Linked DNA regions of Mus musculus: regions 2 and 3 are each reported to be linked to region 1. The links are microRNA targets in miRTarBase. Many come from high-throughput screens and were not tested one by one. Region 1 holds a microRNA gene; each other region holds the end of a gene's coding sequence.
The links. Region 1 holds the annotated microRNA mmu-miR-3071-5p (ACUCAUUUGAGACGAUGAUGGA, at 2,653-2,674, opposite strand). A microRNA usually pairs through its seed, bases 2 to 8, with sites in the 3' UTR of a target mRNA and lowers its output. Matches are read on the target gene's strand: a 7mer-m8 pairs with bases 2 to 8, a 7mer-A1 pairs with bases 2 to 7 and ends in A, and an 8mer does both.

Region 2: miRTarBase lists Slc8a1 as a target of mmu-miR-3071-5p. The part of its 3' UTR that is shown has no 7-base or 8-base seed match.
Region 3: the mRNA of Mtfmt is a reported target of mmu-miR-3071-5p. Seed matches in the 3' UTR shown: 7mer-A1 at 2,486-2,492.

What each region holds. Positions count from the first base shown.
Region 1 is chr12:109,592,711-109,596,777 of GRCm38, forward strand. It overlaps Mir3071 (microRNA 3071), which reads right to left and starts at 2,687; the gene lies at 2,608-2,687. It overlaps Rtl1 (retrotransposon Gaglike 1), which reads right to left. Exons shown (of 2, transcript NM_184109.2): 2 at 1-2,778. The coding sequence starts at 2,693. 6430411K18Rik (RIKEN cDNA 6430411K18 gen) reads left to right here. Exons shown (of 1, transcript NR_002848.3): 1 at 1-141. Mir127 (microRNA 127) reads left to right here and starts at 136; the gene lies at 136-205. It also overlaps Mir434, Mir432 and Mir136.
Region 2 is chr17:81,385,111-81,389,177 of GRCm38, forward strand. Slc8a1 (solute carrier family 8 (sodium/calcium exchanger), member 1) reads right to left here. Exons shown (of 11, transcript NM_011406.3): 11 at 1-3,957. The coding sequence ends at 3,581. Among named protein-coding and RNA genes, the nearest start is that of Gm33944, 100 kb to the left of the region's middle.
Region 3 is chr9:65,451,400-65,455,466 of GRCm38, reverse strand. It overlaps Mtfmt (mitochondrial methionyl-tRNA formyltransferase), which reads right to left. Exons shown (of 9, transcript NM_027134.3): 9 at 2,413-3,462. The coding sequence ends at 3,262. It also overlaps a transcript of Spg21 not described here. Among named protein-coding and RNA genes, the nearest start is that of Spg21, 7.5 kb to the left of the region's middle.

The DNA of each region.
Region 1 (4,067 bases):
TCATACAGTATCCAGTATTCCTCTTGCTCCCTGGCTTTCTCTTGCTGCCTGGCTTTCTCTTGCATCCTGGCGCTCACAGGTTCCAAAGTCTCTCGGGCCCCAGACTCGTAAAAGACGCCGCTTTGATCACTGTCTCCAGCCTGCTGAAGCTCAGAGGGCTCTGATTCAGAAAGATCATCGGATCCGTCTGAGCTTGGCTGGTCGGAAGTCTCATCATCTGCCTCCCTCGGGTTAAACACGTCGGCCAGGTCTGAGTATGTGTGTGGCAATCCGGGCAGTAGGCTTATGCTGTATGTCTCTAGTGCGATGCATGGTGGAGGTGGGGTGAAGCAATTCCGCAGACAGTAGGGAGAGTGGAAGGTACACCGGCCTCTCATCCAGTCGACTTCAGGGGCATGGGTTCGGAGCCACTTCATGCCTAAGACGATGGAGAAGTTGGGCGAAGGTAAGATGTCAAATTCGATGTACTCATAATGCTTCTGGTGGACACATACCAGGGGCTCGGTGCACAGCCAGACGGGTTCATTGCCAATTGGGATGCCATCCACACCTTGGATTATCTGTGGATAAGGCTTCTCATAGAGTTCCACATAGTGTTCCTGGGCAAACCTCTCATCCATGTAGTTCCCTTCTGCTCCTGAGTCCACCAGGGCCCGCACTGCGACACTGTGGTAGGGGTCCACTCTCACCAAGAGCAGTAAGAAGAGGTGATCGCGATCAATGTCTGGGTGGAACTCATTGGGCAGCCAGCTGCTTACCCTCCACTTCTCTGGGGCGGGAGCATCCATCCAGGCTACGCTTCTTGGGCGCGACTCAGGTGGCAGCCTGAGTAATGCTCTTCTCTCTGCCAGCTTTTCTTCAAGTTGCAGGACAAGTACAATCAGGTTGTCTAGGGAATTCGGCTGAGGGATCCGGAACAGATAGTGCCTGATCTCTTCGTTGAGCCCCTGGCACAGGTGGGCCTGCAGGACTTCATCTGGCCAGCCTAAGGTGGGTATCAGACCCCGGAACTCATTGATGTAATCGGCCGCACAGCGGTTCCCCTGCCTGATGTTGAACATGGCGTCTTCCGCCACACGCAGGGTCTGCCGATACTCAAACTTTTCTGACATGGCCTCCAGGAAGGCTGAGAAGTTGTTTATCACTGGGCTGTTCTGCTCTACGAGGTCGTTGGCCCATTCCAAGGCTAGGTCAGTCAGGTGGCGGATGACGAATTTCACCCGCAGCTCATCATTGTATAGCATACTTGGGTAGTTCTGCATTGTCATCTGGCAGAGCACGACAAACTCATGGTAGTCTCTGCGATCTCCAGAGAAGGGCCTGAGGGAGGGCAGGCGACCTTCGTTGATAGCCTGCATCATGAGCCTTTCTGCCACTCTCTGTTGTTCTTTTAGGTCTTGCATCCGGAGGAACAGCGAGATGACGTTCCCCATGGTGGCCACGACTTCTTCTGGAGAGTTCTTGGGCTGACCTTCCTCTTCACCACCTTCCTCTTCCTCCTCTTCCTCGTCATCTCCCAGGTCAGTATCATCTTGGTCTGACTGGGTCTCGGATGAGTTGATTGTTTCATCCATGCTATAATCGGATGCCTCACTGAGTGGTTCCGACCCTTCCTGGTTTGAAATATCACTTGACTGGTTTGAACTGTCGCTTGACTCCTGGTTCGAATTATCGCTTAACTCCTGGTTTGAATTATCACTTAACTCCGGGTTTGAATCATAGCTTGACTCCTTTTGTGAACCATCGCTGGACTCCTGGTTTGAACCACCGCTTGACTCCAGGTTGGAAACATCGCTCGACTCTGGGTTTGAACCAAAGCTCGACTCATGGTTTGAACCATTACTTAATTCGTGGTTTGAACCATCACTCGACTCCTGGTTCGAACCATCATCACTTGATTCCTCCATGTCTTGGGGTAGATCGTTAGATGATGCCTCACAGGGGTCGCTGGATGGCTCCTCCACTTCCCGGAGTAGATCAGTGGGTAGCTCTTGCATTTCCTGGTAGGGGCCACTGGATGGCTCCTCCACTTCCCGGAGTAGATCAGTGGGTAGCTCTTGCATTTCCTGGTAGGGGCCACTGGATGGCTCCTCCACTTCCCGGAGTAGATCAGTGGGTAGCTCTTGCATTTCCTGGTAGGGGCCACTGGATGGCTCCTCCACTTCCCGGAGTAGATCAGTGGGTAGCTCTTGCATTTCCTGGTAGGGGCCACTGGATGGCTCCTCCACTTCCCGGAGTAGATCAGTGGGTAGCTCTTGCATTTCCTGGTGGGGGCCACTGGATGGCTCCTCCACTTCTTGGAGTAGATCAGTGGGCAGCTCTTGCATTTCCTGGTGGGGGCCACTGGATGGCTCCTCCACTTCTTGGAGTAGATTAGTGGGCAGCTCTTGCATTTCCTTGAGGGGGCCACTGGGTGGCTCCTTTTCTTCCTGGGCTGGGCCACTATCTGAGCCCGCCTGGGCCTCAACCTGGGCCTCAACCTGGGCTTCAGCCTGAGCCTCCGCCTGGGCCTCCACCTGGGTCTCCGCCTGGGCCTCCGCCTGGGCCCCTGCCTGGGCCCCCGCCTGGGCTCCACTGCTGCCTGGTGTCTCTTCAACGGTGTTGGATGAGCCCTCGGAGGACTCCATTTGTTTTGATGATGGATTCTTAAGCTCCATCATCGTCTCAAATGAGTCTTCAGAGGGTTCTATCATGTCGTCGGTTGGAAAGGAGTGTGCTCTGAAGACTGGTAAGATTGTGATGTGTGTGGTCAGAGACCGCAACTGTGGAGACCAAAACCTAGGGACAGAGGGATAAAAGACAGGAGAAAATGTAGCAATTTAGGTTCTCAAGATGGCAGGGTCAGATTCTATCTCAAGGACAAAGCAGATGCCAAGTTACTAGAATCAGAGAGAAAATGGAGAAATTCCTCCTGCATTCAGTTCAGCCTCCTTTTCTGGTTACTTGGGGCACCTCCAGGGGAAAGACCGTCACCCCCTGACCTGCCTTCCAGGCGGAGTCTGACTACCCCACCTGCCTACTTCCTCTAGTGGAATGAGAAATTCACAGCCCATAAATTTTGTGGAGCAACTGGCCTGGAGCGTCCTCTGTGGCGAGCTAGCACCTGGCAGGGCACACTTCTGGCCCGCTTTGCCCTGGCCAGGTTCCCTTCCCATTTGTAGTCACCCAAAAGTCATAAAGGTCACATCTCAATGCCACTCAAAGCGGCTGCTGGCAGGCTTGGTGGTCTAGAGCCAGCCCAGTGAGCTTGGTTGGAGGCGGGAATCTGCAGGGAGATGCCTGCTATTTCACAAACTGGGGAAAGAGGAGAAATTGGGCACTTGGCCACTATCCTGCCAGTTGGGTCAACAGCCAAAAATAGCTCTTATTTCCTCCTCTAGGCTCCAAGCCGAAATAAGTGAGAGAGAGCCATGGCTTTTGGTTTTAATTTTGCTCCCCATAAATGTTTATAAAATGCCTACTATGTGCTGAAAACATGCACTTTCATGGCTTCATCCTAGGTCACACTTTGTGCATATGCAGGATAAGAGGGGGGTGGGGGAGGGATAGTATCATTTCTCTTGTTCGGTTTGATCTCTGTCCAAAGCCACGTTTTCTCCAGCTCTGAGCTGAGTCGGAGCTTTCTAAACACCCTTTCCCGGGCTTTCAAAAAAACTGTTCTCCCAGGATTGCCTGGTCTGCAGGGCTCCTGCAGCTTTAAACATCTGGCCTCAATTCTGCTCATGCAAACATTTCTGCACGTCTCACAAATGCTATCTTTCCAAGTTTCTCCTCTGCTTCGGCAGGAGCAGGGTTTTCGTTCTCAAAAGTGCCCCCCCCCCCTTTTCTGTCACTGTTGATTTCGTCTGGTACAGGGGTATATCTAACAGAGGTATGAAGTTGGGTGAAAGGGGGGGCATGGGACCTTTGAAATCTGATTGTTCCGTAATTTTTGAAAATCTAGCCATGGAGGGTTTAGTGCACGGAAATTGAATTTAAAGGGATGTATTGGTTTGCAAAACAAATTAAGCTAGTTATTCAATAGCTCAGCCATATAGCTATTGTCTTTATGAATTCTGCACCTTCTG
Region 2 (4,067 bases), not on the chromosome of region 1:
CACCTCTTTCTGTGTACTTTTGATTGCATGAGATATGAAAATCAGTGACTTATACAATTCATAGAATCAGAAGTTATCAACATAAAGAAGTTGTTCTAGGAATAAGAAGAAATACAATATATGATACTAAGTGAACAATTTGTTTGTCCCTTGGGAAGTAACTATACTTCGAAAAAAAAACCAGTGCAATGGGTGGCATGATTTACTATGATGCGCTGTGTGATGAAAGTTGTTTAACAAGTAATAGCCTGTGAGTTCATGTGCTTGGGTTCAGGAAGCAAGAAGATAGAGTTAAATTAAAAGGTGGAAAAATGGTGAAAAGAAGGTACACCCAATGCTTATCACAGCATCACACAACAGACAAACATTCCGACTCCACGTGCTGCTCGTGGGCCATTTAAGCACAGCATGAGCTAAGGGCTGACATGTGTATGGGTTTGGATTGTGGCTGTCTCCTTTCCCATGGATAAGGATATAGATTGCACAAGGATACCTTTTTGGTCTTTATTTCTTCAGAGCATGAAAACAAACAACTGAAAATGAAGTAGGTGACAGTGAGGAGAGGGGACATTCCACAGTACAGAACATGCTGTGCCACTGGTGATGAAATCACAAACAGTTAGAAACTTTATTGATTTTTGTTTTTGTTTTCTGTGTCAATAATGTGTACCAATTGTCAGGAACAGCACCGAGTGTGCCTGTCCCCCTAAAGCCGTGCACAATACACACAAAATAAAAATAATCAAACAAATCAAATGAAATCATTTACACATAATAATTAAGAACCCTGAAGATCCAGATCAGATTTTCCCTACAGCATGAAGACTGAAAAGGCAAACACACCAAAAAGCTTGAACTTGAAACTGACCAACAGCAAGACGTTCTTGGGAAGTTCTCTGTGAAATTCACTACAGAATTATTGACATTCCGAAGATGGCTTAAAAACAAAACAAAAAAACAGAACTAAACAAAAACCAGTGCAAAATCTTTCTAAGGTTTTTAACCACATATATCCTTTGACTAGATTTACTGGGTATGTCTAGGCTAGCTTTCCACTTTTAAAATCTAAAATTAAGATTAAAAAAAAAATCAAAACAGGATGGCTTAGAGGGCTCCCCTGAGGAGTCCCCACTGTCACCACTGTTGGTGGCCTGTGGAGTGTTGTGATGGAAAGGTACCATTGCCACAGAGACTAAACACCGGCTAATTAGCTCTTCTCAGTGATATTGGTCACCACCATAGTGTCCTGCTTGGCCTAAATTAGGAAGATAAAAATACCTGCGAGTTGGCCAAGGCTATAAAGAGTACTTTTCCAGAGCTAAAAATTACATTCTTTTAGGAAAAACAAAACATGAGCATTTGGTCAACTGCCTTTGTTGTGCAATTTTAATGTGCCTAGGTTAAAAGTCATAATTCCTTTTCTCTTCCAAGATCAAAACTGTCTCAGTGTCAACTCTCACTCTCTGAGGAGGAATCCCACTCACTACATTCCCCTTGGGAGCAGGAATTTGGGCTGTCTTGGTCACTGTTCTGCTCCCAGGTTGTAGTATTACCTGGCCTACTGAACGGGCAACAAGTTTCTATTCACTCAGTCACTACATGTTGGTTAAACAATGAATGGTTATGATCACTGAGTGGAAGGAGGGAAAGGAGTTCTCAGCTACATTTATCTCTTAAGTATCTGGAGTCAACGCAGAGGGCCAGAAAGGCTCAGAGAAGTGTCTGAGAGATGGGCCAAGCCGTCCCATTTCCCATCAGTAGAATCACAGCTTTTGGAATGTTGGGTTTATCTCTGCTCTTTGGTATTTTGAATGGAAAGAGTCATTCCTTGCAATGGTTACTCCCAGTCTCTTTGAGTAACGTCCTCTTAGTCATACCCAGTGGACCTCTAAAGTCCCACTGGTCACTCAGACTTCCACTCAGGAGTTGCTATCTGAACTGAAAGGTGAACAAAACAGGGCTCAAAACAGCCTTCTCCATTAATAAAATCAACTAGCACTATCTATCATCTGTGCCAGACAGAGCAGATGTGCAATAAATATGTTGGGGGAGGGGTGGTGTGGAAATGGTGGCTGTAAAAATCCAGGCACATCCAAAGTATCCACTGGTCTCCCAGCCTTTCTTCTCAGTCTACCTGAATTAATGGGTGATTCTTAGAGACCTCTGATGTGCTCTACATGGCTATTATTTCATAGACATCTTTGTAGTTTGCCTGCTATCCTCTCAACTTTAATATCTTTTCACACGACAATTATTGCTTCTTAGTAATGAGCGTGCAAGATTCATGAACAATAAGCCATTTTCTTCTTTTATCCCTATTAATATCCAAACTCAATCACAACTCAAAAGGAACAACTCAGGTGAAAAGAAAACTCACTTATGTCTTCAATGTCCAATCAACATCGCTGAATGGGAGGACAGTATTTGCTATACTCTACTATATACAGATACGCTTTGTTTTATTTGTTTTTCGTCCATGCACTGTGTAATGGGGATCACGACAACAGTCCCTAACAGGCACATGAAGGAGGGGCAAATGTTCAGTCATGACTGGAACAGGATTGTGCAAGCCATGGATGCCACTGAAAATAAAACGGATGGAAAATCCCAGGCAAGAGCAACATGGGACCTGGACACACGTGATGACTGAAATGGTAGGGCTTTGGGGGTGGGGTTAATTTTCCTCCTTGCAGGGGCTGGGTGGAGGGCAGGAGGAGGTCTGGGATGGAAAACCCGGGGAACAGGCTGGGCTGGAAGGAGTAAGGGTCTTGCTAATCACAGTTCAGAGCTAGAAATAAGGGATGAAGGGTTCTATGAGTTCCTGGGAATCTAGGCACATTATCCCTGTACCTGTTGAACAAGAGTGCCAGACACCGTATCCTTAAACTATGTCTAGAACCATTGCTTTTCCTGGCTCCTTTTCAGCTCCCATGCTTCTCTCTGGAGGCAGTTCACCACTGTTCACATTCCGGAGATAAGCATACAATTTGGTAATGTAGTGAAGATGTGGTTTTTTTCTTCTTCCACGCCCAGCTCCTTCCTTAATCCAAGTAATGTTTAAAGTGTTCGGAGGAGGTGAGGAGCGAATCTTAATGATTCTAATATTCATCCAAAATCCACTCCCCTTTGGGTGGATCACTACTTTCTATAAGGAGAAGATCTTGGCCCTCCAAACAAAACAAAGCAAAACCAAAACCAAAACCGAAAGCCAAACATCAGCCACCCACATCCCTCCCTCTCCCCCCACCACTGGAAACAAAACAAAACAAAACAAAACAAAATAAAACAAGAAAACAAATAGAAGCCTTAACCATTTAAGAACTCGGAGAGAGTATAGCTCTTCTAGGACGAGCTGCAAGATGACCCTGCCTCCATGCCTTGTTCAACTTGATGATGCCCGGGAATGGGAGATGATGGTTTCTGACTTCCGGCCTAGTACGGATGTTCTTGAAGCTGGATTCCATCAGCAGTTTAAGTGAACATGACAAATGTCAGTTTCCTCTGTTCATTATACATAATTTTTATGTATATATATATGTATACATATATATATATAAATTTACTATATCTGATTGTTCCTTTAGAAGCCCTTTATGTGGCAGTAGGCTTCCAGGGAGGAGAAGAAAATGTACAAGAGCCACAGGAGCACAAACAGGGAAGATGTGAGGAGCTTGGCAGTCCGGGGCCCTCCCAGCTCACCTCCTATTTCTGGCCTCCGCCGATACAGCAGCACCCCCACGTTGATGAAAGCAAAAATAGTGAAGAGAGTGACAGAGAAAGCTAGCGTGCCGGGGGACACTTTGAACTGTTCCCCGTTGGCCGCATGGTAGATGGCAGCAATGGACCAGGCCACGCCGATTCCCAGGAAGACATTCACAGCATTGCTTCCAGTGACATTGCCTATAGACGCATCTGCATACTGGTCCTGGGTAGCTGCTACTTTGCTGGCAAATGTGTCTGCAGAGAGAAGAAACAGACCATGACACTGAGTTAACCTTTCAAAATAGAGTCATGAGGTACAAGGAGCTTCTATTGTGTACACTAGACTCAAGCCCACAGTAGACTTC
Region 3 (4,067 bases), not on the chromosome of region 1:
CTGGGTTGCTTTCCCAGGGCTAAAATTGGAGAGAAGAGAACATAAGGGAGCCTGGAGTTTTATAAGCTAGTTTTAAAAAGTTAAAGTCGCTCCCCAACAAAATGTCTCCATGGCATCAGCCCTGCCTCCAGGTAACTGAGCCGACCACCTTTGATGGTGAACTGTGATATGGAAGAGTAGGGTTTTAAATTTTGTTTTCCGTGCTTAGGGACCAAATCCAGGGTGGCGGTAGGCAGTGTTCTCCCACTGAACTAGACCTCTTACCCTGAAATAGTATTTTTAACTTATTTGTGTACTTTTTTTTTTAAGTCCTGGGAATAAAATTAGATCTCACATATGAAAAATAGGCAGTCTGCGATGGAGTTACATGCTGCCGCCCCCTTCAAGGGCTATTATTCTTTGTTTTTCGTGGTGCATACATGTAGGTATGTGTTCATGTTTGTGTGTGCATACATGCATGCATGTGGATCAAAGGTCAAACCTCAGGAGCTATTCACCTTGGTTTTGTTCTGGTGTGTGTGTGTGTGTGTGTGTGTGTGAGAGAGAGAGAGAGAGAGAGAGAGAGAGAGAGAGAGAGAGAGAGAGAGGAGAGACCAAATGAAGATATGAAGATGTCAGGTACTGTGTTAGCTTTATATAAACTGGAATAGAGTCACAGGAGTGGAAGGAATTTCTGCTGAGAAGTCAGTCCCTAAGATCAGGTTTGTAGGCAAGCCTGTAGGGCATTTTCTTAGTGATTGATGGAGGGCGGCCCAGGCGATTGTGGGCAGTACCTCTGTAAACGGTTGTCCTTGGGTTGTATAAAAAAAAGCAGGCAGAGCAAGTCATGAGGGGCAAACCAGTAAGGAGCCCACCTCCATGACCTCTGCGTCAGCTCTGCCTCCAGGTCCCTGACGTGAATGTCTCTGATGGTGAAGCGTGATATGGAAGAGCAAGTGAAACTGAACCCTTTCTTCCCAAATTGCTTTTGGTTGTGGTGTTTTGTCCACAGATACCTTCCCCTGTCCCCTTCCGCTTTATTCATTTGAGAAAGGTTCTCTCAGTGAACTCAGAGCTTTCGGTTTCAGGGAGGCTAGGTGGTATTAGAAATACTGTCTCCCAAACCAAATAAAAAGTTATTTAAAAAAAAAATTGGGCTGGCAAGATAGCTCGGTGGATAGACACTGACGACCGTGACTTACAAGGTAGAAAGAGAAAACTGACTGCCCCTCTCCACACACACAGAAATCTGATAAATCCTGAGGTTCGGATTCTTCGCAATGTAGCAATGCAGCAATGCCTGAACTTGTTCCTTCACGTATGCTTTTTGTTTTGTTTTTCGAGACAGGGTTTCTCTGTGTAGCCCTGGCTGTCCTGGAACTCACTTTGTAGACCAGGCTGGCCTCGAACTCAAAGGTCCACCTGCCTCTCCGTCTGTGTGCTGGGATCAAAGGTGTGTGCTACCACTGCCCAGCCTTCATTTCCCCATCTCTGAGATGAAATTCTGAGATCTTGTCTCACTCTAAAACCTTTTTCCTCATGTTGGTGTAACCGTGTACTCCACAGCGTGGCTGCCCCCCAGGAGAAAAATGATTGTAGAAGGCCCAAAGGCGGAACACAGCAGCACGGAGGTGAGGTAAAGGCAGAGAAATGGCAGATTTATAATGTGGGCCACACAGCCATGAAGGCCATCGAGTCTCCAGATCTGCAGTCTGCCAGCCAACTGCACAGTCACTAGTTTCTGACTCCAGTTCAAAGTCAACAGGGTTAGGTCTCATTAGAGCAGAAGCGACTAACAAAGTCTGACATCTACTGTTCCTTCTTTGCTTTCTCTTCATCTCCTGCCTTCCTCTCTTTCTCAGGCAGGGTCTCTTGATGAACCTGGAGCCCACTGAACTACACTGGCTGGCCAGTGGGTCACTGGGATCCATCAGTCTCTGCTGCCCCAGTACTGGGGTTCCAGAAGTCGCCATGTCTGTTTTCTATGTGGAAGCAGGGATCCAAACTCACGTTCTTATGCTTTTTTGCAGGCACTGTACCCCCAAGCTATCAGCCTCGCCTTTTGTTTTTAACTCACATTAGAAAAGCAATCAGCTTTACTGGGTTGACCACTAAACGTTGTTAATCTCATCCAGAGATACCTTCAGACATAACCAGAGTACTTGACTAAGATACGGCCACTCTGTGGTTTAGTAAACTTGAGAAGTGACAGCAAACACTACCAATTATTAAGTGTCCATGTTGGGCATTTCCTGTGTAATATAGCATTCTGCAAGGCAGTTATTACCCGTATAATTAAACTAAGAAACCAGAGTTTTAAAGATTTAAGTAGGTTGTCTCAAGTCACTTAACTAGAAGCTAGCAACAGAGTTCATTTTTCATTTGCTTTTGTTCTTAAACAAGGTTTCATATACCCTGGGCAGGCCTTTTTTTGTTTTTTAAAGATTTATTATTATATGTGAGTACACTGTAGCTGTCTTCAGACACACCAGAAGAAGGCATCAGATCTCATTCCAGATGGTTGTGAGCCACCATGTGGTTGCTGGGAATTGAACTCAGGACCTCTGGAAGAGCAGTCAGTGTTCTTAACCGCTGAGCCCTCTCTCCAGCCCTGGGCAGGCCTTAAACATGCTTGGTAGTGATGCCTTGAACTGATCCTCCCGCCTTCATCTTCCAAGTACTGGGACTACAGCACTGTGTACACACTAGGCAAGTATTCTACCAACTGAGCCCCACCCCAAGCCGGAGTCCAGTTTCAAGTCTGGGGTAAAGCAAACTTTTTTCCAGCAATAATAAAAATCCAAATTGGAATGTCCTACAGAACTCGCGGACAGCTGAGGATGCCCTTCAACTTCTGACGTTCCTGCTTCTGCTGAGTGCTGGGACTACAGGTGTGCACCACTATCTGGATTATGAGGTGCTGGGGATCGAACTCAGAACTTCACCATGGCTAAGCAGGCACTCTACCTACTGAGCTAGGCCCGAAGTCCATAGATGCACCATTTAAAACAACCTTTTAGAATATATGCACACCATTTAGTTGTCTTACTCTTCAAAGGATACAAGCTCCTTTAAGCTGAACATTATAAATACAAATTTTATTTAAACTTCTTGTGTGATTCAAGTAGAAAAGTCCGCCCTTGACTGCTACACACAATGGAGAGCGAAAGACTTCCGCCTCCTGACAACCACTTCTCTTTCTCCCACGCTGTCATCTTCTTGCTTGTAAATCAAGCTTTTAATAAATTACAAGTGTGTAATAGGTCCTTGTCCGTTGTCTTTCTAGCTACTTAATGCACTGTTGCATAGCAACAACTTTGTTTTCTGCTGCATCTTTGTTGGAAGTCTGAGAGTCTGAAATCTGCACTGGCTTGGGTGAGCGTGGGAATTTTTCTGGTACCACGCATGCAAATATCCATTGTAGAAATCAGTAGCTGTTAGTGTTTTCTTAAGCATTACTGACCGAACACCGATCCAGCCATCCTAAAGGACAAAGAACAGATAGTGAGTAGACAATGGGGGCAAAGCTTGACAACAAAATAAACTGTACTTTATAAACCTCGTCAGGCATGGTGATGCAGCCTTTAACCCCAGCACTGGGGAGGCAGGCCAGGCCGATCTCCGAGTTCAAGGAAAGCCAGGGCTACCTAGTAAAGCCATATCTTTAGAACAACAAAAACCTCAAATGTTATAGAAACAACTGCTGTTACTAACCACTTAGCTGCAAAACACATTGTACTGGATGACATGCAATGCCTTGTCTCTAAAAGTTCCTCATGAAGGCGCAATAACAACTGTCCTAACCCATTTCAACTGAGGAAATAGAATACAACGTTACCCAAACATAACAAGTCAAGGCTGGAGAGTTGGCTCCATAGTTAAAGAGCATGCACTGCTCTTGCAGAGGACCAAGGTTGGTTCTCAGCATCCACTATTGGGCAGCTCACAACTGCCTGATAATTCCAGTTCTGCGGAATTCAACACCTCTGGCCTATGTGGGCACTTGCACAATCACATGTACATATCTACACACACACACACACAGAGTTTTAAATCCAAAAACAACAGGTCTAAAAGGTAGGCAAATC